Stegostoma tigrinum: one gene and its partners. The protein of the gene in region 1 purifies or fractionates together with the protein of each later gene. This does not show direct contact. Links are inferred from orthologs where the notes say so. Each region holds a gene or a part of one and is shown in the gene's direction. Other genes may lie near its edges. The genes, in order: ripk1l, rnf216, chuk and map3k7.

Region 1 (7,142 bases):
GCATATGTAACCATTTCTGGTCCACTTTTCCCCTGTTGTCTACTATTAACCCTAATGGTAGTCAGGATGTGGGTAAGAAAATAAATCAGGAGATAGAAAAGACATGTAAAAAAGGCACTATTAGACTAATTAAGAAGGACTTCAATATGCAGGTGGGGTAAATTTGAAGGGCTGAATGGCCTCCCCCTGTGCCTATTTTCCATGTCTTTATCCCCAGAACTACAGCTTGTGCCAAACTTGTGTTTGCCGTGTTAGCTGCTGGCATATGGAGCAGGTGTAGCCTAGACAGAGCAAGATGTCATCCAGTGACATGACCATCCCCTTGACCGTTCACAGTTGACAACCGCAACCAGCTGCCTGGCTTTCAGCCTGCATTGAAAGGCAAGACAGGACAGATGTACTGTGAGCCCTGTGGGTCCTGAATGAGGCAGCAATGTGAAAATTGGCAAGGCTAGCCAGAGATGCTGTGACCATACAATTAGGCAAGAGAACGGACATGAATAAAGCAAGCTAAGAACCCTGAGCTGCACCCTGTCCTGATGCAGGAGATGGGTGCCAGTCCCTGTGGACAAAGTGGCCTGGCAGCAGCATCACATTGTAAGGTGTCAGTTAGATCCAAAGTGCCGTAGTGAAGTGTAGAACTGTATTCCAAGTGATTCGGAGATATGGCACAATGATATGGAGAGACTGATGCTTGGCCAATGCCAGTCTCCGTGGATTTGGGATGCATGCAGTCCCTTCTAGTGGGGCATGTCCCGCAAAGCTGGAGAATTCTTATCAGGATTCAGGCCTTGAGAAGACAACAGTAAGCTGCCGCCAGGAGGTACCCATTCTGAATTATGTCAGGATTGTCACCATCCGGTTTCTCTCTGCTGCCTTGGTAAAATGACAAACTGCATGACAAAAAGATTAGGCAAAAAGAGAGAGACATTTAATGCCTGCAACTAGGCTCCTCACATTGCACGAGTGAGCCTCTCACCTAACCAGTGAGACCTAATGCACAAACTCTGAACTCTTCTTAAGTTTGAGAATCTCATGTTTCCATTCTCGCCACATTTTTCTAACTGAGTTGCCATTGTCCACATCATTCAGGGACTGGGAAAATTCTACCCCACAGTTAAATGACCTCTCGTGTTGTAATGAATATATCCTCAATAATAGGAGAGCTCAGCACATCAGTGCAAGAGACAAGGCTGAAGTATTTGCAACAGCCTTTAGACAGAAGTGCCAAGTGGACAATCTATCTCAGCCTTCTCCAGTGGTCTCCAGCATCACAGACGCCAGCCGTCAGCCCATTCAATTCATCCCACGTGATATCAACAAACAAGTGGCAGCAGTGGATACGGCAGGGCCCTGACAACGTTATAGTAATAGTACTGAAGACTTGTGCTCCAGAACTTGCCATAAGATGCTGCTTGGCCTGCTGTGTTCATCCAGCTCCACACTTTCATTATCTTGGATTCTCCAGCATCTGCACTTCCTATTATCTCTGATATCACTGAAAAAGCTGTCCAATACAGCCACAATACTGCCACCTACCAGACAATGTGGAAAATTACACAGGTATGTCCTGTACACAAAAGGCAGGACAAATTCAAACCAGCCAGTTACCGTCCCCTAGGTTTACTCATGATCACCAAAAAAAATGATGGAAGGTGCCATCAACAGTGTTATCAAGCAGCACCTGCTCAACGATGCCCACTTTGGATTCATCCAAAGCTACTCAGCTCCTGACCTCATTACAGCTTGAGTGAAAACATGGGCAAAACAGCTAAACCTCAGCTGTGATGAGAGTGACTGCCCTTGACATTAGGGCAACAATTGATTGAATGCAGCATCAAGGAGCCCTAACAAAACTGGAGTCAGTGGGAATCAGAGGGAAACACTCTGCTGGTTGGAGTCATAATTGACACAAAAGAAGAGGCTATGGTGGTTGAAACTCAGTCATCTCAGCTCCAGGAGCTCCTCAGGATAGTGTCCTTCATCCAACTATCTTCAGCTCCTTCATCAATGACCTTTCCTCCATCATAAAGTCAGAAATAGGGATGTTTGCTATGATCGTGCAATGTTCAGCACCAGTCATGACTCCTCAGATACTGAAGCAGTACATGTCCAAATGCATAATGACATGAACAATATCCAGGCTAAGGCTGAAAAGTGGCAAGTAACATTTGCACCATAAAAATGCCAGGCAATGACCATTTTCCACAATACAGAATCTAACCATCGTCTTTGACAGTCACTGACACGAACATCACTGAATCCCTCACTATCATCATCCTGGGGCTTACCAGAAACTGAACAGGACTAACCATATAAAGTGTGGAGTTGGATGAACACAGCAGGCCAAGCAGCATGATGGAATGGAGTTGGGGTAAGGGATACTTATTGCCATCAGGAACTGTACCTTTGATTCACAGAATTAGAGCATAGGTGACTATTCTTACCAGTCTGTCTGCAGCAGCTGTCTGAATGAACGACTCACTCAGTACCTATATCCCACCTTCTCCCTGGAACCCTGCACACTCATCCTTTTCAGTTAGCTGTCTAATTCCCTGTTGAATGCCTCAACTGAACTTGCATGCAGCACACCCAGACACAGATGTTCCAGAACCTGATCACTCATTCTGTGGAAAAGCATATGGAGCTTTTATTTCTTTCACCAATCACTTTAAATCCCCGCCCTCTCATTTCTGATTCTCTCGCTAGTGGGAATGGTTTCTCCCTCTATTCTGTCCAGACTACTCCTGATCACGGGTAGATTTCCACACCTTGCAATGTTCACTGGAAACCACGTACTGTCCAGGGAGGTTTCAGAAACTAACGGAGTTGGTTCCTCTGCTGCTGACTGTCCTCCATCCCCTAAAGTTGCTTCAGACCCCATGAGGAACCTCAGGGTCACAAACTCCTTTACAGGATACCAATGTGCTGGCTGCAACGCTTTTAACTACAAGGCAGGTCTCAGCGATGGTGTAGCTAGACCTCAATCAGCACTGGGAAGCTATCAGAAGTTTAAGAGTTTTTAAACAACATGGTGCAATTAAGGACAGTGGGCGGGTAAACATCGTCACCGCTCAACTTGAACTATATCGATAACAGGATAATAAAATGTGAGGCTGGATAAACACAGCAGGCCCAGCAGCATCTCAGGAGCACAAAAGCTGACGTTTCGGGCCTAGACCCTTCATCAGAGAGGGGGATGGAGTGAGGATTCTGGGATAAATAGGGAGAGAGGGGGAGGTGGACCGAAGATGGAGAGAAAAGAAGATAGGTGGAGAGGAGAGTATAGGTGGGGAGGTAGGGAGGGGGTAGGTCAGTCCAGGGAAGACGGACAGGTCAAGGAGGTGGGATGAGGTTAGTAGGTAGGAGATGGAGGTGCAGCTTGGGGTGGGAGGAAGGAATGGGTGAGAGGAAGAACAGGTTAGGGAGGCAGAGACAGGTTGGACTGGTTTTGGGATGCAGTGGGTGGAGGGGAAGAGCTGGGCTGGTTGTGTGGTGCAGTGGGGGGAAGGGGACGAATTGGGCTGGTTTTGGGCCACCCGAAGGTTGCAGGAACAGCAACTCATATTCCACTTGGGACCCCTGCAGCCCAATGGTATCAATGTGGACTTCACCAGCTTCAAAATCTCCCCTTCCCCCACTGCATCCCAAAACTAGCCCAGTTCTCTCCATCTTCGGTCCGCCTCCCCCTCTCTCCCTATGTATTCCAGAACCCTCTCCCCATCCCCCTCTCTGATGAAGGGTCTAGGCCCGAAACGTCAGCTTTTGTGCTCCTGAGATGCTGCTGGGCCTGCTGTGTTCATCCAGCTCCACACTTTGTTATCTTGGATTCTCCAGCATCTGCAGTTCCCATTATCACGATATCGATAACATCTGCTTTTACTGGAACTTAAAGGGGGTAAGCATTTCCTGACCAAATGAAAGCTGCAAATGTGTTTCCATGCACTGAAGTCATCTACAGAACTTGCAGACAACCGAGCTAACATGAAATGCACATGCATAGCTTTCTGGTCTTAATGGAACAAAATGTCAAAAAAAATTGAGATACACAGACTCACACGACTTTATAACAACTGCTCGACATTAAGACACGAGGTGCTGCAGCTGATCTTGTTACAGGGTATTTCCCAAATAGGCGGCGCTCGAAGGCTGTTTTGCAACACGGAAGAGGATGTAGGCAGGAAAGAACAACGCGGAAAGAGCAATGTAGCTGATCTCCCTAGGACAGGCCGGGCAGGTAAGGACACCAGGAAGAAGGTGAACAGACTGAGAGCCTATTCCCTACATCCCCCAGGGAGAGGGTTCAGGAGGCTCGAAGCTTTCACTCCGCCCGGGCTGTAAGAGTGATACCGAGAACTGCAGAGATTTCCCTGTAGAAACCCCCTCCCTCACTGTGCCCGCGGCTATTCGGCCCTTCCTGCCGACTCTAGCACTTGGAAAGGTGGCGCCGACGTTCTCTTTCCGCTGAATGTAATGGCGACTTACTGGGCAAGGGACAGTTCGGGCTCCGCGGCCAGTTTCTGTTCTACAGTTCGTGAGATGTTGGGAATCACGACCCTTCCACGCGCACCCCCCCTCCCCCAGCCAAGAACACAACCCCTCTTCCCCAAAAACACTGCTTTTCGCCCAACACAATTCGCTACCCCCTCCAACTCCTTCCTTTCCTCTGCAAACCACAATCTCTCCATTTACCAATCAACTTCTCCCCCTCCTGCCCAAGCACAACTCTTACAACCACCCCTTCCGATTTCCCAAACACAACTTCTTTCCATCCACTCCCCATCAATTCTGTCGACTGAAATCAAACTACGAAGAGACTGGAGATGCGCTGTTTTAACCACCCTCTTGTAGCCCTCTAACTGTGTGAGTTGTTTGTTCACTGACAGTGCGAACAGGTTTTACTTTGATTTGAACCATCTCAGTATTGGCCTAACCTGATCCACTTGCTTCCTCTGAACTTTCAGCAGAGTCAAGTTATGTGATGTTGACTTGTTGTGTAAATGAATATGTTCAAATGTTCTAACTTCAAAATAAAATCGGTAGATTTAGTGTCAGACTTATCATGTGGGCAGAATACTGTGTGCAGTCTCTGCTTGAAGCAGTTAGAGAAGTTGACTGGGTAGATTTCTGGTTTGAAACAAAGAATCATAGAAACAAGGAGTAATAGTAGGCCATTCAGCCCTTTGAACCTTCTGTGCCATTCAGTATGACCACGGCTAATCCTTTATCTCAATGCTATATTCTCACTTTCTCCTCTCGTTTTCGTTAGAGAGAAGGAGGTTAAGAGGTGACTTAATAGAGACATACAAGACGATCAGAGGATTAGATAGGGTGGACAGTGAGAGCCTTTTTCCTTGGATGAGATGGCTAGCACGGGGAGACATAGCTTTAAATTGAGGGTGACAGATATAGGACAGATGTCAGAGGTAGATTCTTTACTCAGAGTGTAGTAAGGGCGTGGAATGCCCTGCCTGCAACAGTAGTAGACTTGCCAGCTTTAAGGCATTTAAATGGTCGTTGGATAAACGTACAGATAATAATGGAATACTGTAGGTTAGATAGGCTTCAGTTTGGTTCCACAGGCCGGCACAACATCGAGGGCCGAAGGGCCCATACTGCGCTGTAATGTTCTATGTTCTCCCTTTAGGTGCCTTTAAAATCGCAATGGAATCCGCCATAGTCTCAGATATACTCAGTCAGTTGGCCGACATAGCTTTCTGCTGGAGGGAGTTCCACGGGTTTTGAGTGAGGAAAGTTTTTCTCACCTCAGGCCTAAATAGCCTATCTTTTATCCTGGGACTCTGTCCACTGGTTCTAGATTCCCCAACTAGGGAAAACCTTCTGCGTGCATCTAACCTGTCCAAGGGAATGAAGGTTGGGCTGCTTTGACCTATATTTATTGGAATCTGAGGTAAATTAAATGCTGAGAGGTCACTTCCTATTTGCATAGAATCTAGAATCAGGAGACACAGTTAAATGATAGGGCTGTCCAGTTATGATGGAGGTTAGGTTAAATTTCTCCTGCTGAAGGTATTTAATGTCAGAAATTCTCTTCCAGAAAGCTTTGGAGGCTGAGACATTGAATAGACTAGCGCCTGGAATTAGAGAGATTTTTCATTGACCAAAGTGTTGGGAGCAGTCAATAAAGTGAAGGCTACAATTGCATCAGTCATGGTCTAATTGAATGGCAGAACAGGCTTCTTGGTAAGTGGCCTACTCCTGATTTCTTATCATGTTAGAAGATCGTGACTTGACGCTTCATTCCAGAAACCTAAGCACATGGTCTAGCTTGATCTTCCAGCGAAAGTACTAAAGCAATGTTAAACTGTCCAAATTGCTTCCTTTTGGGGCAGTGTCAGGCCATAGATGAAAGTGTTTTCTACAGTGTGGCATCAAAGAGACCGAGCAAAACTAGGTTTGGTGGAATTAGACAGAGCATTTTCTACTGGTTGGTATGATACTTTGCAGAGAAGAAGATGGTTGTGATTGTTGGAAGTCAATCATTTCAACTCCAGCATATCTCCACAGGAACCCCTCAGAGTAGTGTTTTCGATCCAGCTTGCTTCATCAATAATCTTTCTCCATCGTAAGCTCAGAAGTGGGAATATTTGCTGATGATAGTGCTGAACATTGCACTGTTCGCGATGCCTCAGGCGCTGAAGCAGTCCATGTTCAAATGCAGTAAGACTTGAACAATAGCCAGGCTTGAGCTGACAAGAGGATAGAAACTTTCGTGCCATTCAAATGCTAGGCAATGACCATCACCAATAAGAAAGAACTTAATGTTGCTGTTTTATATTGAATGGCATTATCATCACTGAATCCCATAATATCAACATTCTGGGGGTTAAAATTGTTCAGAATTTAGACTGGACTAACCATATAAATACTATGGCAACAACAGCAGGTCAGAGGCTAGGATTCCTGTGAGCAATTCAGCACCTAATACTTGAAAGCCTCTCCACCATCTATGAAGGACAAGGTAGGAGTGTGATGGGAGTTCCAGCAGTACTCCAGAAGTTTGGTATAATCCAGGACAAAGCAGCCCAGTTGATTGACACCACATCCACAAATAGTCACTCCCTCCACTACTGACCTTTGGAAGCAGTTTGGAGCATTTATAAGCAATACTGCAGAAATTC
Region 2 (7,446 bases), on another chromosome or scaffold:
GAAAAAGCTTAACCATACAGTCCTTCTTGCTAAGTGCTTTGCCATGGGTCATGGCCTGGTGACCAGGCTTGAGTCCCTTTGCCGTGGTGCTGGAATGAAAGTCAAAACTCTTTGTTTCCATCACCATCTCTCCACGATGAACCCTTGCTGGATCTCGCCAAAGCAGACGCCACCAATGCCGGCTACCACACTGGCCTTACCATGAAGAGTCTGTTTCGGGCCCACCTTGCCAGTGCAGCTGCAGCCAATGCCACAGGGTGTCATACCCGGGGAGCTATATTAGCAAGCAGACAAATCCTGTCAGGTGGCTGGTGCTTGGTGTATGTTAACTTGTGGAGTGGCTTCAAGTTTACAGTGGGCTGACCAGAGGAGCTTTGGATTAGTTGAGTTCAAACACAAACAATAGGGTTTCAGCAGCAGATGAACTGAGGCAAAGATAGGAATAGATAGTGTTACGGAGGTCATTATGTTGGAGAAGATATAGAATTATATTGCAAAGAATTTTACAGCACGAGGGAAAGCTATTTGGCCAAACAGCAGTTTGGTTTCATGCTCCTTACTAAGCCTCCTGCCACCTCACTTCATCTTATCTTTTAAATCTTGTGCTTTACGCTTTTACTGCTAACTGCACACTGAGATAGCTGTCTGGACTATCCCTGGTTGCTAATGTTTATTTCCTCATGTCTAAATAAGGTTCTTTAACTCTTGTCTACTGCAAGACTCCCTTATTTATATTTATGCAACTCTGTATGCACGGACATACACATTTTTTACATATGTACACAGCATACAGCTCCCTATAGTAATGTCCAAGAATTGTCCCTTGACGCACTCATTCTCGACAAGTGCCTTCTCCCTTACTAATGATACAGTTATATGATCAGCTATATCTTTGTAATTTACATGAATCTCATGTACCACAATCCTTATAATCCACTTTACCTCATCTACTTATCTGATTTTTCATGAAATTTTCAACTAAAATGTTAAATGCAGTAAGGATGCTGGAAGTCTAAAAACAGAAAATGAAGGCCATCTGCTACCCACCCACCAGCCCCCTGAAAGCTGGGCAACACGGTGAGGTTTTGTATTGTCACTGCACTAGTAGTGCAGCAACTGAGGCTACTGGGATTGTGGGTTCAAATCCCACCAGGCCAGCTAGAGTGACTAGCCGTAATAATAAAACTATAACTAATAATTGTGACTATGACAAAGAGAAACAGCCATCTGGTTCAGGGAGGAAATCTGTTTTAATTACCTTGTGCCTTCAGATCTTCAGTGATGTGGTTGAGTCCGAAACTACTTTATTTCCAGGGCATTTGAGGATTGGTAACAAACGTTACCCTTGAAAGTGTTATCCACATTGAATGAACAAATGAACAGTCAGGTAGGATCTGTGAGAACAGAAGGAGTTGACTGATGATTTCTCACCATCTTTCAGTGCTTGTGGTTTGTTATCAATTCTGTGCTTTTACTTGATTTTAGTTTCCTTTCTATTATGATTCCCATTAGTTGTGCTGATGGTGTTTGCTTTCTCAGTGACTTTCCCTTGATTTGTTGTGATTCTTCCTGCAGGAATGACTGACTGAACAGGTAGCAGTGATGCAAAGGTGCTGTTGTTGGACCGGGGTGAGCAATGTCAGAAATACCAGGTTATAGTCCAACAGACTTATTTGAAAACACAAGCTTCTGGAACCTTCTCTTCTTTTTCAGGTGTTGGTGAGAGAGGTGGTATCAGACAGAATTTATAAGTAAAAGATCAAAGGGTCACACCACTGGTCAGGATGTATTAAACAAACTTGAGATGCTGTTACATCTTTAATTAGCTGGAAGGTTTTAATTGATTAATATGTGTATGTAAATCTCCAAATTCCTTATAAGTCACTATTCTCAGAGAACTAAAGAAGAGGTTACATTTTGGGTCAGACAATGCATGTTACGTGTGAGGCCTTGTTTAGAATCTGTTTGCGTTTTGGTTTGGGGTCGGACTGGTTTTGGTTCTAAAATAGGAATTGTTAAAATGCCACATTGACTGACTATAAATTGTGCGCTTTTTGAACAAAATAGAATGATTCTGCAAATACAAGCTCACCCCATAGGTTAGGTTACCACAAACATATGGATAACTTCACAATGCTGCACTTCTCTAGCTTCCATCCTAAACATATTAAAACAGCCATCCCTTACGGACAAGTCCTATGCATACACAGAATCTGTTCAATTGAGGAGGAACGAGACGGAACCTGAAGGTGTTGAAGGACACCCTCATACCATAAGACCATAAGACATGGGAGTGGAAGTAAGGCGATTTGGCCCATCAAGTCCACTCTGCCATTTAATCATGACTGCTCGGCATTTCAACTCCACTTCCCTGCACTCTCCTTGTAGCCCTTGATTCCTTCTGAGACCAAGAATTTATCGATCTCTGCCTTGAAGACATTTAACGTCCCGGCCTCCATTGCACTCTGTGGCAATGAATTCCACAGGACCACCACTCTCTGGCTGAAGAAATGTCTCCTCATTTCCGTTTTAAATTTACCTCCTCTAATTCTAAGGCTGTGTCCACGGGTCCTAGTCTCCCCGCCTAACGGAAACAACTTCCCAGCGTCCACCCCTTCTAAGCCATACATTATCTTGTAAGTTTCTATTAGATCTCCCCTCAACCTTCTAAACTCTAATAAATATAATCCTAGGATCCTTAGCCGTTCATCGTACGTTAAACCTACCATTCCCGCGATATGAACAGGATGCGATGCTCAATTCGTCGATCGCCAGTTCTGATGTGCCACAGCGAAGAACTGTAATGACCTCCTCAAAAGACAGACATGGGATACAGTGGCTAGGATACCCCTCGTTATTCAATTCTTCCTGGGAGTGGAGAAACTACACAATGTCCTTTGCAGCCTTCAACACATTATTGATGACAATGAGCACCTCGCCAAGATCTTCCACACGCCTCCACTTCTCACCTTCAAACAACCACCAAACCTTAAACAGACCACCGTTTGCAAGAAACTACCCGGCCTTCAGGACAACATCGATCACAACACCACACAACACTGTCATGGCAAGCTTTGCAAGACATGTCAGATCATCGACATGGACACTACCATCACACAGGGTAACACCATCCACCTGGTGCAGATACTCATGCAACTCAGCCAACATTGTCTGTCACACACACTGCAGGCAAGGATGCCCCGAGGCATGGCATATTGGCAAAAGTATGTAGACGCTACGACGACAGATGAATGGGCAGTGTGCAACTATTGCCAGACAGGGATGTACCCTCCTAGTGGGGGAGCACTTCAGCGGTTACGGACATTTGGCCTCGGATCTTCAGGTAAACATCCTCCAAGGCAGACTTCGGGATACACAACAACGCAGAGTCACTGAGCAGAGGCTTATAGCCAAGTTTGGTACCCATGAAAAAAAAGCCAAAAGAACTGCGATGCTGTAAATTAGGAACAAGTTGCTGGAGAAACTCAGCAGGCCTGGCGGCATCTGTGAAGGGTAAAAAACAGAGTTAATGTTTCAGGTCTGGTGGCCCTTCCTCATTTGTGCCCATGAAGATGGCCTCAACTGAGATCTTGGATTCATGTCGCACTACAGGTTTCCCCACCACTCTATACACTCTCACACGCACGCATGCATACATTCACACTCACACACACAGTCTCTCTCACACGCGCACACACTCCAAGTGCGCACACATACACACACACCACACACACTCTCTCAGACACACACACATACATACACATGATCCTCTCTCATACATTGTCTCTCAAGCATGCGGGCGCACTCACTCACACTCACTAACATACTCTCTCTTCTCCCTCACACACATAAATCTATGTGGTAAATGTTGTGAACTTGTATTTGCAGATACAGTCTATTTTGTCCAAAAAGCACACAATTTGTAGAAAGTCAATCTGGTGTTTTATGAATTCCTTCCTAATTTAGAAATAAAACTAGTCTGATTCCAAACCAAAACATAAACAGATTCTAAACAAAGCTTCATACGCAACATGACCTAAAATATTACCTCTTCTTTACACCGATAAAACCTTTAGGTTTCTCTTAGGACAGTGACTTTAAATGAATTGGGGATTTACATATATATATTAATCAATTAAAAGCTTCTAACTCATTAAATATTTGACAGCATCTTATGTTTGTTTAATACATCCTGATTAGAGGCGTAATCCCTTGATCTTTTTCTTATAAATTCTGTGTCTGATACTACGTCTCTCAAGAACACCTGAAAAAGGAGAGAAGCTCTGAAAGTTTGTGTTTTCAAATGAGCCTCTTGGAGCGTAACCTGGTGTTGTGTGATTTCTGATATTGACTAAACGGGCCTGGGACTACAACTCCCACAATCCACCGCGTGGTTACGTTTGCCGTCAGGCGGTTAACGTGGCGACGCTAGCACGTCAGTTCCTGTGTTTGGAGGTTGCAGGCTGAGAGGAGTCAGGGCCTGGGCTTGCGGATCGCTATGGGAGACCAGGCTGTCGGTAGGAGAGTACACAGGGACAACGCACGGTAGTCGGACCACCTGAAAGCATCGTCTCCGTCTGCGCTGACCTCCGGCCCGCGGCAAACGACCGAGGGAGTCACCTCCGAGTCCGGCCTCTTGCTCAACAGCCTCAGAGTTGGTGAGAGACCCGAGAAACTGACCCCCGCGCCCTGTTCGGGGACTGTCCGCCTCTCACTCAGGGACAGTGACAGCAACAAGACAACTTCACCATGAGTCCCAGCCCCAATCCCACCCCGACCTGTATCCGCACCCACCCACTCCTCACCGATCCCCTGCTCCCAGACCTCGCTGTCCCACACCCTCACTCCCAGACCTCTTTACCCCGGACCTCACTCCTCCACACCCCCATCCCGCACACCCCCAGACCACTTCCCCCAACAGCCTCCTACCCCACCACCCCCTTCTCTCTCTCCCCCACCTCCATGTTTGATATGTTCAGTAGATTGTCAGGCCATTGGGCAACACGTTGGAAGGTAGAGGGAAAGGTTTCACTTTTTTGCTTCCAAAAAACTGTACAGTATTTTGATTTAAGCACCTTTGCTGTGATACTGTCAGTGTTTTTAACAAATGTCTAATGTTGGAAATGGTGCAGTGTAACATGGGGGCTGGGGATGTTTTGACACAAGTGGCAAATCTGTAGTTTTACTTTGTTGTCCTAGTTCAGCTGATGTGGTGATGACATTTGAGCCCATCTGCTATTATTTAATCCTCCTCTTGCCTCCCCCTCCCAAGTTCCGAGTAAGTTCATGTTTGCCCAAAAACAATTCAGAGATTCCACATTTAAAAACAGAGGGCTTTCCTTTGGAGGTGGCTAGCTACTTGCTATAGGGGTACCTGACCTTTTTCAAAGTCATACATATATGTTCAAGGATGAAAAAATAAATGTTGGCAATGGCAACACATGTTTTTACATAAAATATATGCAGTTCCTGCATCGATGTTTTTAATTAACTCACCAGGCATGAAATATTCATGTGGTAATCAGATTTAATTCATTGCCTTTCAGTCAGTGTATTTTCTCTATGCAAGGAAATTTTGATCATGAGGCAAATCACAACACCATATGCTGGCTTTGTTCTGAAGATATTTTAAATGAAAGGTGCTTGGAACCATGTGCAGTTTGCTTTGCATCAAGCAGCTCACCACGCTTCACAGGAGTGTCACATTTTCAAGCTGAAATGACTCCTCTATTGAGTCATAATTGACAGCCAGACTTGAAGCTGTGATGTGCCTGAAAAACACATGCAAGAATTTCTGTTGGATGGAAATGCCATAGTCATAACTGGAACACATCACACTTTGTTTATTGTATGTAGCTGAACATTTAAGACAGGAGGATCCTAGGTTTAGACTTTATCTTCTGAGGCAGCAAAGTAGTTACTTTAACAAAAACAGAAAATTGGTGAAAATGAGCAGTTCTGCCAGCATCTATGGAGAGAAAGCGGAGTCCAGTGACTTTTCATTGGAACTCATTCTCTCTGAAGAGTCATTGGACTTGAAATGTTAACTGCTTTCTCCCCACAGATGCTATCAGGCTGAGTTTCGCCAGCGATTTTCTGTTTTTGTTTCAGATCTCTAGTGCCCACAGTTCTTTGTTTTATTTAAGTTGTTATTTTAGCCTGGGTGTTGATGGATTTGGAGGGGGAAAATCAGCCTGGGTTCCTGTATCGTAGAGATTGTTTGAGAAGATTGGGTATTGAAGTGGAAAGTACTGGAAACACTTAAGCTTTTTAGAAAGCTTCTGTGAAGAAAGATGATTTGTTACCAGCTCAGAATGCTACTCATGTTTTCAGTTAAATAGTTCCTAATGCATGCTATCAAGGCTTGAATTAAAAATATCCACTCTGATGAGATGCTTTCCATGTCTATGGAATTTTTCCTGCTACTGGAATCTTCCTGAGCCCTGTATCCTCTCATGCACAACTCTTTAGTCTCTGGCCAAGGCCATCCCTCCTCTCTTTATCACTACTCAGGCCAGAGACTTTGGGTGTCACATTTACTTGAATTTTCTGAATTTGTAACTGCCTACATTGGCGTAATGATAGTCTTCTAGCCTTCTGATTCAGAGGTGAGTTCAGGACTTGAGTGTATAAGTTTTTCAAAATAATGTTGAGGGAAGTTGCAGGATGAGACAGTAAAACCAAAGTCAGTAACCTTTTCAAGTGGGCATGAAAGAACTCTTCAGAAAGAAACAGGAGATTCTCCTACAGCAAACTGCAATGGATGTTGACATCTGAAAAAGAAAACACAAAATGCTAGAAATACTCTGCAGTTCAGATAGCATCTGAAGAAGGGCCAGCATCTAAAATATAGTTAGTTTTTTTTTCCAAGGATGATGCCAGACCTGTGTATTTCCAGCATTTCCTGTTTTTATTTAGAAAATTTTTCTGTTCTGTTTTCTGTAAAATCCAGAAACAGGTGGTTGGTGAAAAACTAGGTCACATTTTGTTAAATTTTGCCAGTTCCTTCCCCACCTTGAGGTGTGGGGAGTGCTTTTGGGTGTCAGGGATTGGGGAGTGGTTTGCTGGGTCTTGGGCTGATCCTGGGCAATGGTTAAGGTGCTGTTAGCTCTATTGACTTTCACTTTATCTTTTGGCATGTTCAGTAGTACCAGCTAGTTTCTCTACATGTCAGATTGAAAGGTTTCTTATGTCACCGTTTTCAGTTTCATGGCCAACCTTTCTTCTTCAAGCAGCACCAGCAAAAACAGCTAAGCCTTTTTCTCTCGTTTGCTGTGCTCATTGCAAATGACGTCGTTTGTCATCAAAATAAAAAGTACTGCTTTGTTCCTTGAATAAAAAAGCAGCCTCCACTACACTCTCCTTCAATAGTACCGTTGCTGGTTTACAAAGTTTTGTCCTTGGTGTATTCTGATCTCCTTTCAGATGCATCTAGCTGTTATTTTA
Region 3 (7,834 bases), on another chromosome or scaffold:
TGACAGTAATCTTTGTTCTTGTTGGCAGTCTGGGCATCCAATCCTGGGCACCAGACAATAATGCCTCACCAACATCTTCATTTTGGAGACACCTGGATGACCCTGGTGGAGTTCAGCCAGTATCTTGCAGTGACCTTTGCTTGAGACAATCATTCTTGCTCCCCATAATAATATGCCATTTTCTATTGTGATCTGGTCTCTTTGGATTCAAAAAAGTTTCAATTCTGATTGTGACAGCCCTCTTAGAGTTCCAACACCTTACAAGATGATCACTGATTCTTCAATTCCCTGAAAGCTTTTGTTTAGCTATTCAAACATTTTCAAGGCTTGTTTTTTAAGAGTCGATGCAAAGCTGCTGGGATGGAGGTCAGGTAATGTATGAATTTTCTGTAATAATTCACCAGCCCAAGGAAAGACCTAAGCTCTGGTACAGCTTTGGCAGCCAGGGCACCTTTGATCACTCCCAATGTATCTTCCAAAGGGTGTAACCTAGTCTTCTCAACTCTAGCCCAAGTAAGTTACTTAGGGTGCTGGGAACACGCTGTTTTCCCTCCTAAAGCATAAGCCTGTCGGGGAGAAAAGTTGAAGGACTATGTCCAAATTCTCTAAGCACCAATTACTGGTATTCCCTATTATTAGCACATCATCTAGATAAATGACAACCTGGGGTGGACTTTGTAAAATGTTCTTCATAATCCACTGGAAAATTGCACAAGCTGACGATACCACAGATGGCAATCTCATATATTGGAACAAATCATTATAGGTATTAATTATAACATACATCTGGGAATCCTTATCTAACCACAACTGGAAGTATGCTTGGCTCATGTCCGGCTTTGTGAAGGTCAGTTCCACCCACCCACCGCACATCATAACCTTTAATTCCTTTACTGTTCAAAAATCAATCTTTGCTTTCAAAACATTCAACAAGATAGTCTCAACTGCTTAACTGGGCAGGGAGTTCCACAGATTCACAAACTTTGGGAGAAGAAGTTCCTCATCATCTCAGTCCTAAATCTGCCCCTCATTTTGAAGCTTGCCCCCTGTCCTAGGTTTCACCCACCAGTGGGAACAGCCTCCCTGCCTCTATCTCATCTATTCCCTTCATAATTTAAATGTTTCTAATTCTTCTAAATTCCAGTGAGCTAGTCCCAGGCTATTCAATCCCTCCTTATAAGCCAACCTTCTCAACTCCAGAATCAACCTAGTGAAGCTCCTCTGCAACCCTTCTGGTGCCAGTACATCCTTTCTCAAGTAAGAACACCAAAACTGATGGGTAGTAAATGGTGGGGTCTTTGCAACTGACAGAGATAAAACAAAAACAAAAAGACCTCCCACCCCCATCGCCCATTTGCTTTGACTCACTAAATGTACAGTAAATCCATTCCATCACACTGCACTTCATCTGTGAAAAGCTTTAGAGTACTATATATCTGAAACTCAGCAGTTGAATTTTTCTCTAGTTATAAGAGCATTTGCCATTTACAACCAATGTGAGTCTGTGACAGCATGATGTGCTTGAAATTTATTATTACTTCAAAAGTTTTCATGACTCTAGGTTGTTTTTACAAGATAGTCTTTCGGGTAATTTGCATCATATAATATTTTTAGCTTCATAAAATAATATTGAAACTTCAGAAATAAATATTAGAATAAGTACTTTATTGTTGTCTTGGGAATCAGAATAGAAGCAACATACAGACACACGGTCTCCATAGAAAGGAGAGTACATATTTGGGGATTAGTAAGTAAGTATAAACCATATTCACAAAGGACCATAGTAAAGTTACAGTAACATGTCCAAGACCAAATCTACTAGTTGCAGTATGGAGTCAGCAGATCTTGGTTAGATTGCAGACTGGGCTCAGTCAAACCAATACAAAGGTGTGGCAAGATTTAACCAAAATGAGTACTTTGTTATGAAGACAAATTGAAGTACCGCGCCCAATTTGGGTGATTAATCATTCTCCCACACATGAGTTGTAGAAAGCGTATAAACCTGAAATTTTAAAATATGTTTATTTTTCCAAGATACTTAAAGCAAAAGAAAATTTATCTCAAACAAGTTTTCAGGATCTGGGCTAACAGCAGATTATAAGTTCGCATTGTACTGGTTTAATTGTATCAGTGACAGTAACATAAAATCTTTTTGGCTCAAGTTGAGGAAATGTTGTCTTCTAAGTAAACCTTTCCTGTATTTAATCATAGGAGCAAACACTATTACATTTTACCAATTTTGGTTACAGCCTAGGCGCAAGAACAGTTCCCACCTCGTGAGGGAAGTGGCGAAACCTAATGCTAGAGAGAATCTACATAAATCTCAGCACTTAACTATGTCCAAACTCATATCACAACTTCCATATCCTGGTAAAAGTGCAGTAATTCTTACATATGTAAATGTAGTGTTAACCTGAGGAAATGTCAAAGAGAAGGGATTGAGTGGGTAGCTGAAACCAAATTTGAATTTCTCATCGGAATGTTGCATTCTCATCTCCATGGATATATGAAGCTCAGCTGCATGAAAGCAGGCAATATGTGAGAGGTTATGCTACCTGTAACTTGGAAAAAAAAAGGAATGAGTATAACAATGTGACAATAAGAAAAATGCATTAGTTTATCCAGTTCTGTGATTCTGGATGTGAGTTTCGGCTTCATCAGAGGCTCACTGATGATGTTATCTAGAATGGTGACGAAACGTCTGAAAACTAACCTTCCAGCTCAGTGAGCAAACTCACATCCAGAACCTCAACCTGAGCTATAAATCTTCTCAAAACTTGCAAGTTCTGTGATTATAACTTGTGGAAAATATGTCATTTTGTTACTTTTTACAATAATCTTCAGATTTTCAGCTTGATATCTACAAACTGAGTAAAAGAAATCTACACAATATTTACTCCACACATTCAAAATGGACAAGAGTATTTTTAGTATACAATTTCAGCAGTTAAACATAGACTGTCTGAGTCCTAAAATACCTATTTATTACAGTAATCAACAAAAACAATGCTTCCTGGTGTGAAATGCTTTCCAGATATTGTACAACAATTTTAGACAAGTACCACTTACCATTACAAAAGCAAAATATACTGTATAAATAGAATACAGTGGTTAGGAACACTGGAGTATGGTTTATACCTAGTTGATTCTACACAAATAATACGATAGAAGTAAAAGGGTAAGATGTTGGATAATATCAGCGGGTCTGGTGATGTCTGTGGAGAGAGAAACAGAGTTAATATAGAGTTCACAATGCCTTCTTCAGAATTGAGGGCAGCTGGAAAAATGATTTTATGCATTGGAAAAAAAGGGGAAAGAGGAGCAAAGGGAGAGGATGGGAAGGGTATCACAGGGAAAAAGACAAAGGGATTGCTCAAAGATTGTAGAGAAGCAATGTGAAGTGTAAATTTTTATTTGTGGTATGTCCAGGAAATGATCGTTCTTTTTCATCCTCAAACATTTCATACAATTGCAGAGACTCTTATATTGCATCCAAAATGCAGTTTAAAGTACATTGGTTAGGTCATACTTTAAACTTTTAAAGTTAATTTGTGTAATCATGAGGGCAATAGATGCATGTGAACACCACCACCTGTAAGTTCTCCTCCAAGCTATATTGCTGTTACTTAATTGTCACTGAGTCAAAATACTGGAATTCCAATCCTAACAGCAATGTGGATGTTCCTGTACTTCAAGGAATGCAGTTGTCCAAGAAGGCAGCTCATAAGCACCTTCTTCAGAGAAATTTGGGATGGTGTCCTGGACAGCCACATCCCATGACCAATTGTAAATTTCACAACATTTCCAAGTCTTTTGCTGTCTACAAATTTTGAAATTGTGCCATGCATAGCTTTCTATTTATAGTCCCACAACATTGGCCACTGCTGTAAAATCACTGCAATATCTCCAACTGCAAAGATAATTCAGGTTATGTTGGCTCATGAGTCACAATGTTCCATGTAACAGCTTGGCTGCAAAGCAGCAGACCACAAAACAAAGGGGAGGTTTTAAAAATTCTTTCACAGGATGTTAGAGCCTGTTGAAGCAATAGAGAGCAGCCTTCTTCATCCGCTGTAGCAAATGTACTGCATTTGGGGTGTAGGTCTCTTGAAAGTATTTAGAGCAAGTGTGAAAGGTTCTGGAAAGTTAAACTCCCATGGTCCGTGGTCAATAGATCCCTCAAGCATTATCAGTAAAGCAAATTATGTGGTCATTATTACATGAATGTTTGTGGCAGCTTGCTGTGAAGAAGTTGGTGGCCATGTTTCCTTAATTACAGCAGTTGACAACACATAAAAAGAACCAGTGCTTCATGATAAAGAACGATGGCATTTCAGGAGTCGTGAAAGGAGCTATTAAAATGCAAACGTTCTGAAGAAAGTCACATAGGTTTAGTCATTCGACGGAGTGACTGGTGTTGGTTTAACCTGAGGGTCATCACCTTTCAGGTGAAGAGACAAGTTGGAGGAGGAGGGTCCTTCATAGTAACCTCAGCCGGTGCTTGAAACGGACATGATAGATGCTGCCAGACTAATCAAGTTTCTCCAAAACACATTTAAAAATTTCAGATTTCTAGCAAATTATAAGTGGGAAAGGCTGATCAGCACTCAGTCTGTTTACTTTTGCTTTCGGGTTGAGAAGTTTGTTACTTCACCCCATGCACAACTCTCCCGCGAGAGCACGTGAAAAGATGCCACCCACGCCCCAGGTCCGCGACACACCTAGCTGTCAATCATTGCGGAGGCTGGCCCTCCAGGCCATGGGGGCGGGGTTTCACACTAAGCCCAGGCGTAGCGTCTTATCGAGAAAGAACTACAACTCCCGGCGTCCCGCGGGCGCGCTTGTGTGTCGCAGTTGCGGGAAATGTCTCTGATCAAGATTGATGAAAGAAGCAAAGTGTGATCACTTCTAACGTGTTTTTATTTGTTTTTCCGCATCGCAGTTTAATCATTTCTGCCTCCAGGAAGCGATTCCTTCGGTTAGCTTTCGGCTGCAAGGTAGGATTCGTAAAGGAGTCCCCGGTTTGACTGTTGGAGTTCCCTTAAACTAAGGCCTAAAGTGTCACTGTGCCGTGAATGACTTGCGTCTGTAATCGGTTGAGCATCAGTTGATGACATTGGAAAATGTGTCTTTGCGAAAATAGTTTGGATAACATACTTTTATGGCAGACTTTTATTTTTCTGTTGTTCTTGGTTCTCTTAAAAATGTTTTTAGATTTTCTGGTTATTTTGAGACTAGTGTGTATGATGTCATAGTCATGCCATCAACTTTTTGCCAGGACTTGGCCTAAGGTCGATTTATGTTAGCTAAAATGGGCAGGTTTCCCTTGGTTTTATTAGATCCTGGCATTTATTTTTAATCAGTACTTCAGTATGGTATTCGAATGATTAGTTTACAGCTCGTCCATTAGATTGAGTGGCATGTCAAATTTTTGAAACTGGATCACCTCCTTAAAGGAGGTTGGGGATGATTTTTCTTTCAGAGATTTTTGAGACAAGAATCTGCTAATTTTTGAATTTGGAGCCAAAAAATAATCACAGCAAAGATCAAAATGGTCGGGCATGCACCTGATTTATATTGCCTTATGATCTGTACTGCTTTTTCTAGTTGCTGCAGTTGTCAAAGACACCGAAGAATGCCATTATCATGAAGTGAAAAGGTATAGTCAAGAGCACCCTTCCAGTTCTTTCCTCTACTTAGGCAAATTTTGTATGTTTTCACGATGTTGGAAAAGGTCTTAAGCCTGATGTCCAAACCATGTCAAGGGGAGGCAGACAGTAGCTTCAAGAAAAGTCCACTTCTTATTCCTTGAGACCACAGGAGGCATTTAAAACACTGCAGCAGTGATTGATTTTTCTCCTTTGCTCCTAAATGCTATCTCTATCTACAGCACTTTTATAATTGTAATGGAGTCCTATAAAAGCAAGTATATACAGGTTATAATGTCTGTTTGTGGGCAGGATGATAAGAAAAGTTCTAATTCTAATAATTCCACATTATGCAAGGAAGCACCAAAATTTGAAATTTGAAGACTTTGGAGTATATATTATAGCTTAGATTTTCACAACAAAACCTAATGTTCATATGTAAATGTATAAGCATTGTCCAATGTACCCTTTAAATTTATACATCAAAAAGTGACATTTATTAGTAATTGAAAGAAGTGGGATGAACAAGTTAATAAATGATATCTTTCTGACTTGGGTTTTGCACCTTTTTAATATTGTAGTTTAATTTTGTAAATGTTCTTGCTCTTGTGAGGTTTATGTAGAGATTCAATAAAGTAATTGTTATAATTACAGGTTACATTTAGTTATGTTTTTTCCCACATTTTGTCTTTAATGATTTGAAAAAGTAATGCATTCATATTCAAATTTACAAAGGAAAAACCCAGGTCACATTTGGTGCAAATTATGTCCTCCAACAAGCAATATGACATAGTGGATGTATTAGATAAATTCAGAGATGGTTTGAACAGGAAATGTACTGAAGGCTCTGAAAATGTAGCAGAAGGTGCCTTCTTGGTTATTATAATGTTATTATTATCATTATCAGGACTTAAGAACGGGAGTTTGCCATTCAACCCCTCAAGTCTTTCAGTGAGTTCATGGCTGATCTCTGTCTTGCCTCCATCCAGTCATGTCACTATATACGATTACCTTTCCTCGGAAAATGTATTGATCTTCAATTTAATTGTTTGAGTGCAGGATTTCTTTGCTGAAAATAAACATTTTGTCAAACTTTTAGTCTTGTGCTGGGTCAGGACATTTAACAAAAATACAAGTTTGAAGGGAAAATTCCATTTTTACTGCATGAGCAGAGTGCTGATTGGCAAATTAAAGCCAACATAAAAATGTAGTTGAATTTTAAGTCTAAATTGTGTTCAGAGTAACTCCCATTTCCTTGATCTATTGTTGTAACTGAAATAGTAGCATCTTTATAAGACAGCCATGCTGTTATGTTGAATTAATCACAGTTGCAAGTTTCAGCAAGTTGCATGCATTCAGAAGGCTATAAAATTAGGCAGAAGATTGGAAATAGCATTCCTATCAAGCTCTAACCTTTTTCCTTTACTATTTACTGGGAAATTGATGACTGGACATATGATTTTATACAGCCTTTTAAGATACTTTTCAGTTACTTAAAATTGGGTTATCACTAGTTTGTGGATGATTAAAATGCATAAGTTTTTTTGTGAAATAATTTTAGCTCAGTTAATCAAATTACACAAGGTTGCCATTCTTGCATCAAGAATTCTTTCAAGTATAGAAGAAATCACCATTGTTCTAAAATACTGTCTAATCTGGCATGTGGCAAAAATTACATATGGTGATACTCAAATTAATTTGGACATACTTCTCAAAACTTAATACAATTAACACTGACTAACCAAACATAAATTTGTTCTTTTGTACTGTGGATGAGTAAAATGCAACAAAAATTGAAATAATAAATAAGAACTTCATAGCCAAACTTTACATGACCAAGGAAACATTAACAGCAAGGTTTTGTGTTTGTTTGTGTGCAAAGGGGTTCAAGAGAAAAGAAACTTTTAAGCTGAGTTTTTGCAAACATGAAAGCCCTTCTAAACTTTACAGAGTGCAACTTCCCTCACTAAATGTGGCTGAATTATCTACAGTTGCATGAGAATGCAAGCAAATGTCCATTGGCCTGTATCCAGAAATAAAAAATCAAGCAGGTTTGGTTGTATTGGTGGAATTTTGGTGCAAACCACTTGCTTGAAAAAACTCTGTCTCTCCATGAAAAGTCAGGTCAATGACAGTATCCTATGTATAGAGAGGCAAATACATCAACCTAATCCAAACTATTGGTT
Region 4 (7,482 bases), on another chromosome or scaffold:
ACTGCATGTGTTTGCATCAACTAAACAGATATCCCTGAATCACTTGCTGAGAGATCTTCCAGAACATTTTGTCTTCATTGATAACTAAATTGACTCAGTTTCCTTGTTACTATGTTCATTAGGTGATAGATTTTTATATCTAGATGTTTTATTTCATGCTTCTCCTGTGGTGGCAACAGAGATAGGACATCTGCTAATCACTATTTATCTTCCTGACTTGTATTTCAGAGTGAAGTGATGACTCTCAAGCCTCAAGGATAACCTTTGGAGTCCTGCAGGAACTCTGATTATTTTTCTCGCATGTGTTCCACTGGACAATGATTATTCTTCACCAAGACATTTTTTCCATAGAGCTATGTATGAAATTTTTTCACATGCATATGTGACAACCAAAAGCTGTAGGCTGGATTTTATATGCCTTTCAATAACAGGGCGCAAAACCTGCAGCTTTCAATTATAGAGACAAAAAGTCCTACTTCACTTGCTTGAGAATAGATTGAAGATGCGAGACGGTTCTCTTTAGATCTGATAGAAGTTTGCAAAATCATAAGCAGGCTAAATAGAGTGGACAGGGAGAAAGTGTTCCCACTCATAAAAGAAACAAGAATGAGACGGCACAGATTTAAAATGATTTGCAAAAGTAGCTATACTGCCTTGAAGCCTCATGGAAGCACGTTCAATTGAGACACTCAAAAAGACATTGCACAATTATGTGCAAGAATATGAGGAAAAAGTAGGAGATGTAAATGGTGCTCATTTTAAGAGCTGATGCAGATGTGAATGGCCCAACAGCCGCCTTCTGCACTGTAGTATTTATCTGCTTTAGACGTTCCTAGGCTGTGGTGACTGGCGGGACATCTGGTGTAATTCAGAACGAAACAGTCATCTAGGTTTTTTCTAGTTGCAACAGACTCGACTGTTAATTATTCACAGGGATTTTTATTCCATCTGAGCCTGTGATGAATGCTTGGGCTGTTTCAAAAGGTTATGAACCACTATTTCAGCTGTATACGCATGACGGCCAGTTGTGAGAAAATATTGAGGGCTTATCTATCTTTGATGGGATAGTGGAAGTGATGTTTATTCCGACAATCAATTGACTGCCTGAAGGGATCTAATTTTTTGGAAAGGTAAGTTTTTTTCTTTTTTCCCCTTTTTTATTTCCACTGTTATGGGAAGCATCCTTACCACTGATAATGTGCTAATTCCATATTTTTTGATTATAAAGGTGGAGTAACTCCACAGAGGAAGAGAAGATTTTCAAGTGAAATTGGATTGTTGAGTTTTTTTTTTAAGATCCTGAGCTGTTTCCGTGGTGTGTACTGGGTGAATGCCTCCGGAGGATACTTGAGACATATGGGAAGTGTGACAAAGCAAGGGAAACTTGAAGAACATGGAGGGACTCTGGACTATAGATGATATGAAAAGAATAAGGAATCTGAGGGGTTATAGAGGTGGCATGTAGTGGGTGGACAGTACGACATGAAGGCTTAAGTACCTAACATTGATCATTAACACAGGACCGATATCACAATAAATGGAAGTCTGCATTTGAGCCTGTCAGCCTGGCATCAACCCAGCTTCATTGCTACCCTGGGAAAGCATGTCCGAATCCATTTCATCACTGGCTAGCCAGAAAGAAAATGCAGAAGGTAGAGATGAGACTTCTCTGTTACATTCCCAGACATTTTTCCAATACTCAAGCAAAATGGTTAGAACCCATGACATCCCCATAACATTGTACTGTACATGTTCAAGATGCCAATTGGCCTTGGCTCAAAGGGTAATTCTCTTGCCTCTTAGGCTGTAAGGTTCTGGACTCAAGTCCCACTCCAGAGCTTGAGCATAGAAATTAAGATACTCCAATCTGTACTATCAAAAGTATTTTAGATAATATTTGATTTATCGTCAACATCACAGAAAGGTTATTTGGTTACTATCACATTTTTTGAGTTAACTGTACAGTGATCATCACCTTGTTTCCTACTTCACAGAGTTTCTACAGTTGGAAAACTACTGCATTGACTAGTAAGAACTCTGAGAAGTCCAGTATTTGTAAAAGGTGACTTGCAATTTTACTCAGATAACAAGGCGTAGAGCTGGATAAACACAGCAGGTCAAGCAGCAGAGGAACAGGAAAGCTGACGTTTAGGGTTACTGTACTTTTCTGCAGGTGATTGTTGAGAATCTAATTCCTAAGCCTTGATAACAAAGTGTGGAGCTGGATGAACACAGCTGGCCAAGCAGCATTTCAGGAGCACAAAAGCTTATTTTTCAGGCCTAGACCCTTCATCAGAGAGGGGGATGGGGAGAGGGTTCTGGAATAAATAGGGAGAGAGGGGGAGGAGGACCAAAGATGGAGAGAAAAGGAGATAGGTGGAGAGGAGAGTATAGGTGGGGAGGGGACAGGTCAAGGAGGCAGGATGAGGTTAGTAGGTAGGAAATGGAGGTGCGGCTTGAGGTGGGAGGAAGGGATAGGTGAGATGAAGAACAGGTTAGGGAGGCAAGTGCTACACTTGCCCCTACACCTCCTCCCTCACCCCCTTCCTAGGCCCCAAGATGACTTTCCATATTAAGCAGATGTTCACCTGCACATCTGCCAATGTGGTATACTGTATCCACTGTACCCGGTGCAGCTTCCTCTACATTGGGGAAACCAAGCGGAGGCTTGGGGACCGCTTTGCAGAACACCTCCGCTCGGTTCGCAACAATCAACTGCACCTCCCAGTTGCGAACCAGTTTAACTCCCCCTCCCATTCCTCAGATGACATGTCCATCATGAGCCTCCTGCAGTGCCACAATGATGCCACCCGAAGGTTGCAGGAATAGCAACTCATATTCCGCTTGGGAACCCTGCAGCCCAATGGTATCAATGTGGACTTCACAAGCTTCAAAATCACCCCTACCCCCACTGCATCCCAAAACCAACCCAGCTCGTCCCCCGCCACTGCATCCCAAAACCAGCCCAGCTTGTCCCTGCCTCCCTAACCTGTTTTTCCTCTCACCTATCCCTTCCTCCCACCTCAAGCCGCACCTCCATTTCCTACCTACTAACCTCATCCCACCTCCTTGACTTGTCCATCTTCCCTGGACTGACCTATCCCCTCCCTACCTCCCCACCTATCTTCTTTTCTCTCCATCTTCGGTCCACCCCCCCCTTCCTATTTATTCCAGAACCCTGTCCCCATCCCCCTCTCTGATGAAGGGTCTAGACCCGAAACATCAGCTTTTGTGCTCCCGAGATGCTGCTCGGCCTGTTGCGTTCATCCAGCCTCACATTTTATTATCTTGGATTCTTCAGCATCTGCAGTTCCCATTATCTCTGATCACAATTCCCAAGCCTTGCTGGCTTGAGCTAATAAATGGTAAGTTGCATTCATACAACAAAAGTGCCAGGCAACAACCATTTCAAACAACTGAGTAAGAACTTCCCTTTGACATTTGATGGCATTATCTTACCAGGCCACCAATGCCCACGCCAACCAATATCTGAAGAAGGGTCTAGGCCCAAAACGTCAGCCTTCCTGCTCCTCTGATGCTGCTTGGCCTGCTGTTTTCATTCAGCTCTGCACTTTGTGATCTCCAATCAATGTCCTGCTGTTTTCTTAACCGGGAACTGAACTGAACTATTCATACTGTGGCCTTAACAGCAGGTCAGATGGGAGGAAACCTGCAGCAAGTAATTCACCTGCAAACCTCCCAGAGCCCTGTCCATCATTTACAAGTCAGGGGTATGACAGGGTACTCCCCACTTGTCTGTGAATGGGTTCAGCTCCAACAACACTCAACTAGTAGCCACGCCAAGGCAGCCCGCTAGGGATTGGCACCATATCCACAAACATTCAGTCACTCCACCACCGAAACTCAGACGTTTTGCTGGAATAAAATGTTCACTTTCACCACGGCAACTGATGGCCGTTTATTCAGTTTGAAGTGAAAAGTTCCTCGGCGAAACGAATGAGCTGGTGCAGTAAGTGCAAAACGATTATGCGACAAAACAAATAACTAAGGCCGCTGGAGATCGTAACAACAAAAACAGAAATTGCTGGAGGTACTCGGCAGATCCCACAGCAGCAAGAACAGAAGCTGCTGTAAAAGCTCAGCAGGTCTGACAGCATCTGTGAACGGAAAATAAAACAAGAGTTAACGTTTCGGGTCCAGTGACCGTTCCTCAGATCCGGCAGCGTCTGGAGAGAGAAGCAGAGTTTGTGCTCACAGTCCGGGTTCATCGGAGTCCTCATTTGAAACGATGCTGACAGCCGGTGAGGAAAAGGTCGCTTTAAATCAAGTTCCGGCTTCGCCGGTTATAAAAAAAACTTTCAAATTTAAAATTCACGCGCAGCGATTCCAAGCAGTGCTGCGCAGGCGCGGATGTTGGAATGGCGAGTAGGTCACGCAGGCGTAGTAGGAAGCTCTTTTACCGTTGCCAGTACTCCGCCCCACCCATCCGTCCTCCCTGGGGACGGCGGTTTCTCTGGATCGCCCGTGTGTCTCTGCCACTAGTTATCCCTGCGTTCGTGTAGAGCGTCAGTTCCGGCGGCAAGCCGCTTTTCCCCGGATGTTTGCGGGCTGGGATTAACCCCGGAAATGCCGGACGAAGCTGGTGGGAGCGGAGCGCTGCAGGAATCGCGGCCCGGCCTCGGCGAACTCCGCTCCTGACACCGGCGGCGAATTCGAGAGGCCGAGTGCGGCGGGCGGCCCGGCGGCTTGCGCCAGGGGCCTGGGGTTGACCGCCCCCCACTGCCGGCTGTAGGGATGTCGGCGGAGATCATCGACACCCCCCCGCTGCACTTCGAGGAGATCGACTACAATGAGATTGATGTGGAGGAGGTGAGGCAAGAGCCGGGGTTGGGGGGGGGTGGGGTGTTGTTGCTTTTGGGGGAGACACCAAACCAGGGGAGAGAGTCAAGTATTAGGCCCCAGCGTGGGGAAGGGGAGCGAGCCCTGCCCGCAACACCCTGCCCCCAGTCTCGTCCGTTTTGTTTAAGAGAATAAGGAAATGGGTTAAAGTCCAGATCATTTAGATGGATTGTAAACACGTTAGTGAAGGGTACATCTCGTGCTGTCTGATGTCTTCTGGTAATCTCATACTGTCTCTCTCTGGTGCATTGGAGTATGTGAGAATTGTGGAGAGTTTTATTGTTTTTTGAGTTTTTTTTAAATTTGAACGAGAACTTTAGTCGTTTGTGCATCCTAGTACCCCGCCCCCAACGTAAGACAGTTCGGAAAAGAGTGGCTACAAAATTTGAATTGTTTAACTGGGATATACTTATACTTATTTATTTATATTCCTTGTTTTTCTTGAAAGCTTTTGTTTATAAACTCTGTATAAACATGATCAGAAATTATTTGAATACTTTCCTCGTTATGGCAAACTGATTTCATTTCTTCCCCAGCAACTTGGTGTCTAAAGTAAAAGTTTAAATTCTGTCTAACTTGCTGCTAATATATGCACTTGCAGTAAGGAACTACCAGGCTATAACATTTGCTCCTGTTGATTTTCCAGGATTCTGAAGGTTGATGTTTTTGGTGAACTTGTAGATTACCAACTAATCTTTAGTGTAGATAATTAACTTTTTGTGGGGGAGAAATGACTTCCCATTGCATAATGAAGAAAGCTATGCCAAATTTTGATGGATCTTCAGCCTTCCATTTTTAACAATGTAACTGTTTCAGATTTGGCTTTCTTTTTTTGAAAATGCGATTGCAATATTGCTGTAACTGTAGAGATTGCATTAACATCTCCCTTTTAGTCAACCAACAAATTCTTTTGTTCTAATCCATTGTACAGATGAATGTGACTATTTTAAGTGAGCATGATGTGCACTTATCTACTATATTGTGATAGGTGAATGTGGATTTCAGTTACTTTGGTATTTAAATTAGCATAGAATTAAATAAAAAGTAACTGACTCTTAGGATGAAAGATCTGTTTCTATGTTGTATTGTATATTATACTATCTCAAGTCAATGAGAATCCAGTTCAAGGTATTTTTAAAAAAAACAACCTGTTGAGAGATGTTATACACAGCCCTGGAACAAGTGGGACTTGAATCTGGCACAGATTTGGGATACTGCCACTTAGCCACTACATTTTGTGACACTGGACATTGTGAGAATTTCATTTGTACCTTTGAAAGTATGCAATGAATTTGATTTTACTTAAAATTTACAACCAGCATGAATTAAGAAAAACTATCCTAAAATTCTAAATGTTTCAAACCATTTTGATGTAATTAAGACTGAAAACAGTGGCAGTAGAATTTGACTGCAGAGCCCAATCCAATAATTAACCATTGTGGGCTTCCAGCAGAGGTCCCTGCAATGCAGTCAAAGAAGCAGGAATCCCTGGGCTGTCATCTGTCTTGTTCCTAACTGTGATCCAGTAAAGAAACCTGTACAAGTAAACTGACTGAGAGGATGGTTACAAAATCAATCAAATGATTGGAGTTAATTGAGCAGATGCTGTGGATTAAAAATATGATCGATCTTGTCTTCACATATTCAATTTTAGAATATATTGAATTGTTCAGTGTCCAAACTTCCATGAGCTTGTAAAGCCTTTTTGTTAAAGTAACAAATGAAGACCTTAAACTTGATATTGAAGCTTCATTTGATGTTCTCTCTCCAATGAAATTATTCTCCAAGGATGACATAAATGACGAAATACTTTTGATCAATGTCATGTTGGAGGGAAATATAAACAAATTGTGCAGGAGCTTCCTCCTGTTAATAATTGGAAAAGAGAACATTGTTTAAAGAGGTGATTTCAAGAGCAAGAACAATTCCAGATTTTCTTGATTAGCACATTCAACTTGCACAATAGCTTTGGATCACTATCTGAAGAGCAGAAATTTGCAGCACTGAAAGGAGCAGGCAGTGGAGTAATACAAGTTTAATTTTTTTGTGTAGAGTTGCTCGAGACATGACAGGCCCAATGACCTCCTTCTGTGCTGCAACCATTGAATGATTCTTTGAATTATCCTTAAAATGTTAAAGTAAATCTAGTAACTTATACATCCCATGTGCTACACACATCAGCCTGAAACTAGGTGGGAATGTGACTTGAGACGCTTCAAGCAGATTTGGAAAAGCTAAGTAAGTGAGCAAAAATATGGTAAATGAGATATAATGTGAAAAAACCATGAAAGTATCCACTTTGGTAGGAAAGAGAAATGCAGAACATTTAATAAATGGTGAGAGATTTAGAAGCGTTAATGTCTAAAGGAGTCTGGCTGTCCTTGTCCTTAGGTAATTGAAAGCTAACATGCAAATGCTGCAAGCATTTAAGAAGGCAAGTAGAATGCTGGCCTTTAATGATAGTTGATTTGATTGCAGGAGTAAGTGTTACCATGATTGTTTTATAGAGCCTTCCTGAGACCACACCTGGAGTATTGTGTACAGTTTTGATTTCAGTTAGTGGAAAAGATATATTTGGCATAGAAGAAATGCAAGGAATGTTCACCAGACTGATCCCTGGGA

Evidence for each region.
Region 2: the proteins of ripk1l (region 1) and rnf216 purify together in Homo sapiens (affinity purification with western blotting; 3 studies listed by BioGRID). This does not show direct contact. The link is inferred for Stegostoma tigrinum from reciprocal best matches to the Homo sapiens genes RIPK1 and RNF216.
Region 3: the proteins of ripk1l (region 1) and chuk purify together in Homo sapiens (affinity purification with western blotting; 3 studies listed by BioGRID, with this or other methods). This does not show direct contact. The link is inferred for Stegostoma tigrinum from reciprocal best matches to the Homo sapiens genes RIPK1 and CHUK.
Region 4: the proteins of ripk1l (region 1) and map3k7 purify together in Homo sapiens (affinity purification with western blotting; 5 studies listed by BioGRID, with this or other methods). This does not show direct contact. The link is inferred for Stegostoma tigrinum from reciprocal best matches to the Homo sapiens genes RIPK1 and MAP3K7.

Annotation. Positions count from the first base shown.
Region 1 is NC_081355.1:12,792,603-12,799,744, reverse strand, and holds the start of ripk1l (receptor-interacting serine/threonine-protein kinase 1), read left to right. Parts: upstream 1-4,140; 5' UTR 4,141-4,237; intron 4,238-7,142. UniProt on the Homo sapiens protein: Serine-threonine kinase which is a key regulator of TNF-mediated apoptosis, necroptosis and inflammatory pathways.
Region 2 is NC_081376.1:11,500,497-11,507,942, reverse strand, and holds the start of rnf216 (E3 ubiquitin-protein ligase RNF216), read left to right. Parts: upstream 1-4,443; 5' UTR 4,444-4,658; intron 4,659-7,446.
Region 3 is NC_081390.1:13,731,696-13,739,529, forward strand, and holds the start of chuk (inhibitor of nuclear factor kappa-B kinase subunit alpha), read left to right. Parts: upstream 1-4,818; 5' UTR 4,819-4,997; intron 4,998-5,607; 5' UTR 5,608-5,659; intron 5,660-7,834.
Region 4 is NC_081357.1:54,993,821-55,001,302, forward strand, and holds the start of map3k7 (mitogen-activated protein kinase kinase kinase 7), read left to right. Parts: upstream 1-4,468; 5' UTR 4,469-4,755; coding exon 4,756-4,830; intron 4,831-7,482. UniProt on the Homo sapiens protein: Serine/threonine kinase which acts as an essential component of the MAP kinase signal transduction pathway. Plays an important role in the cascades of cellular responses evoked by changes in the environment.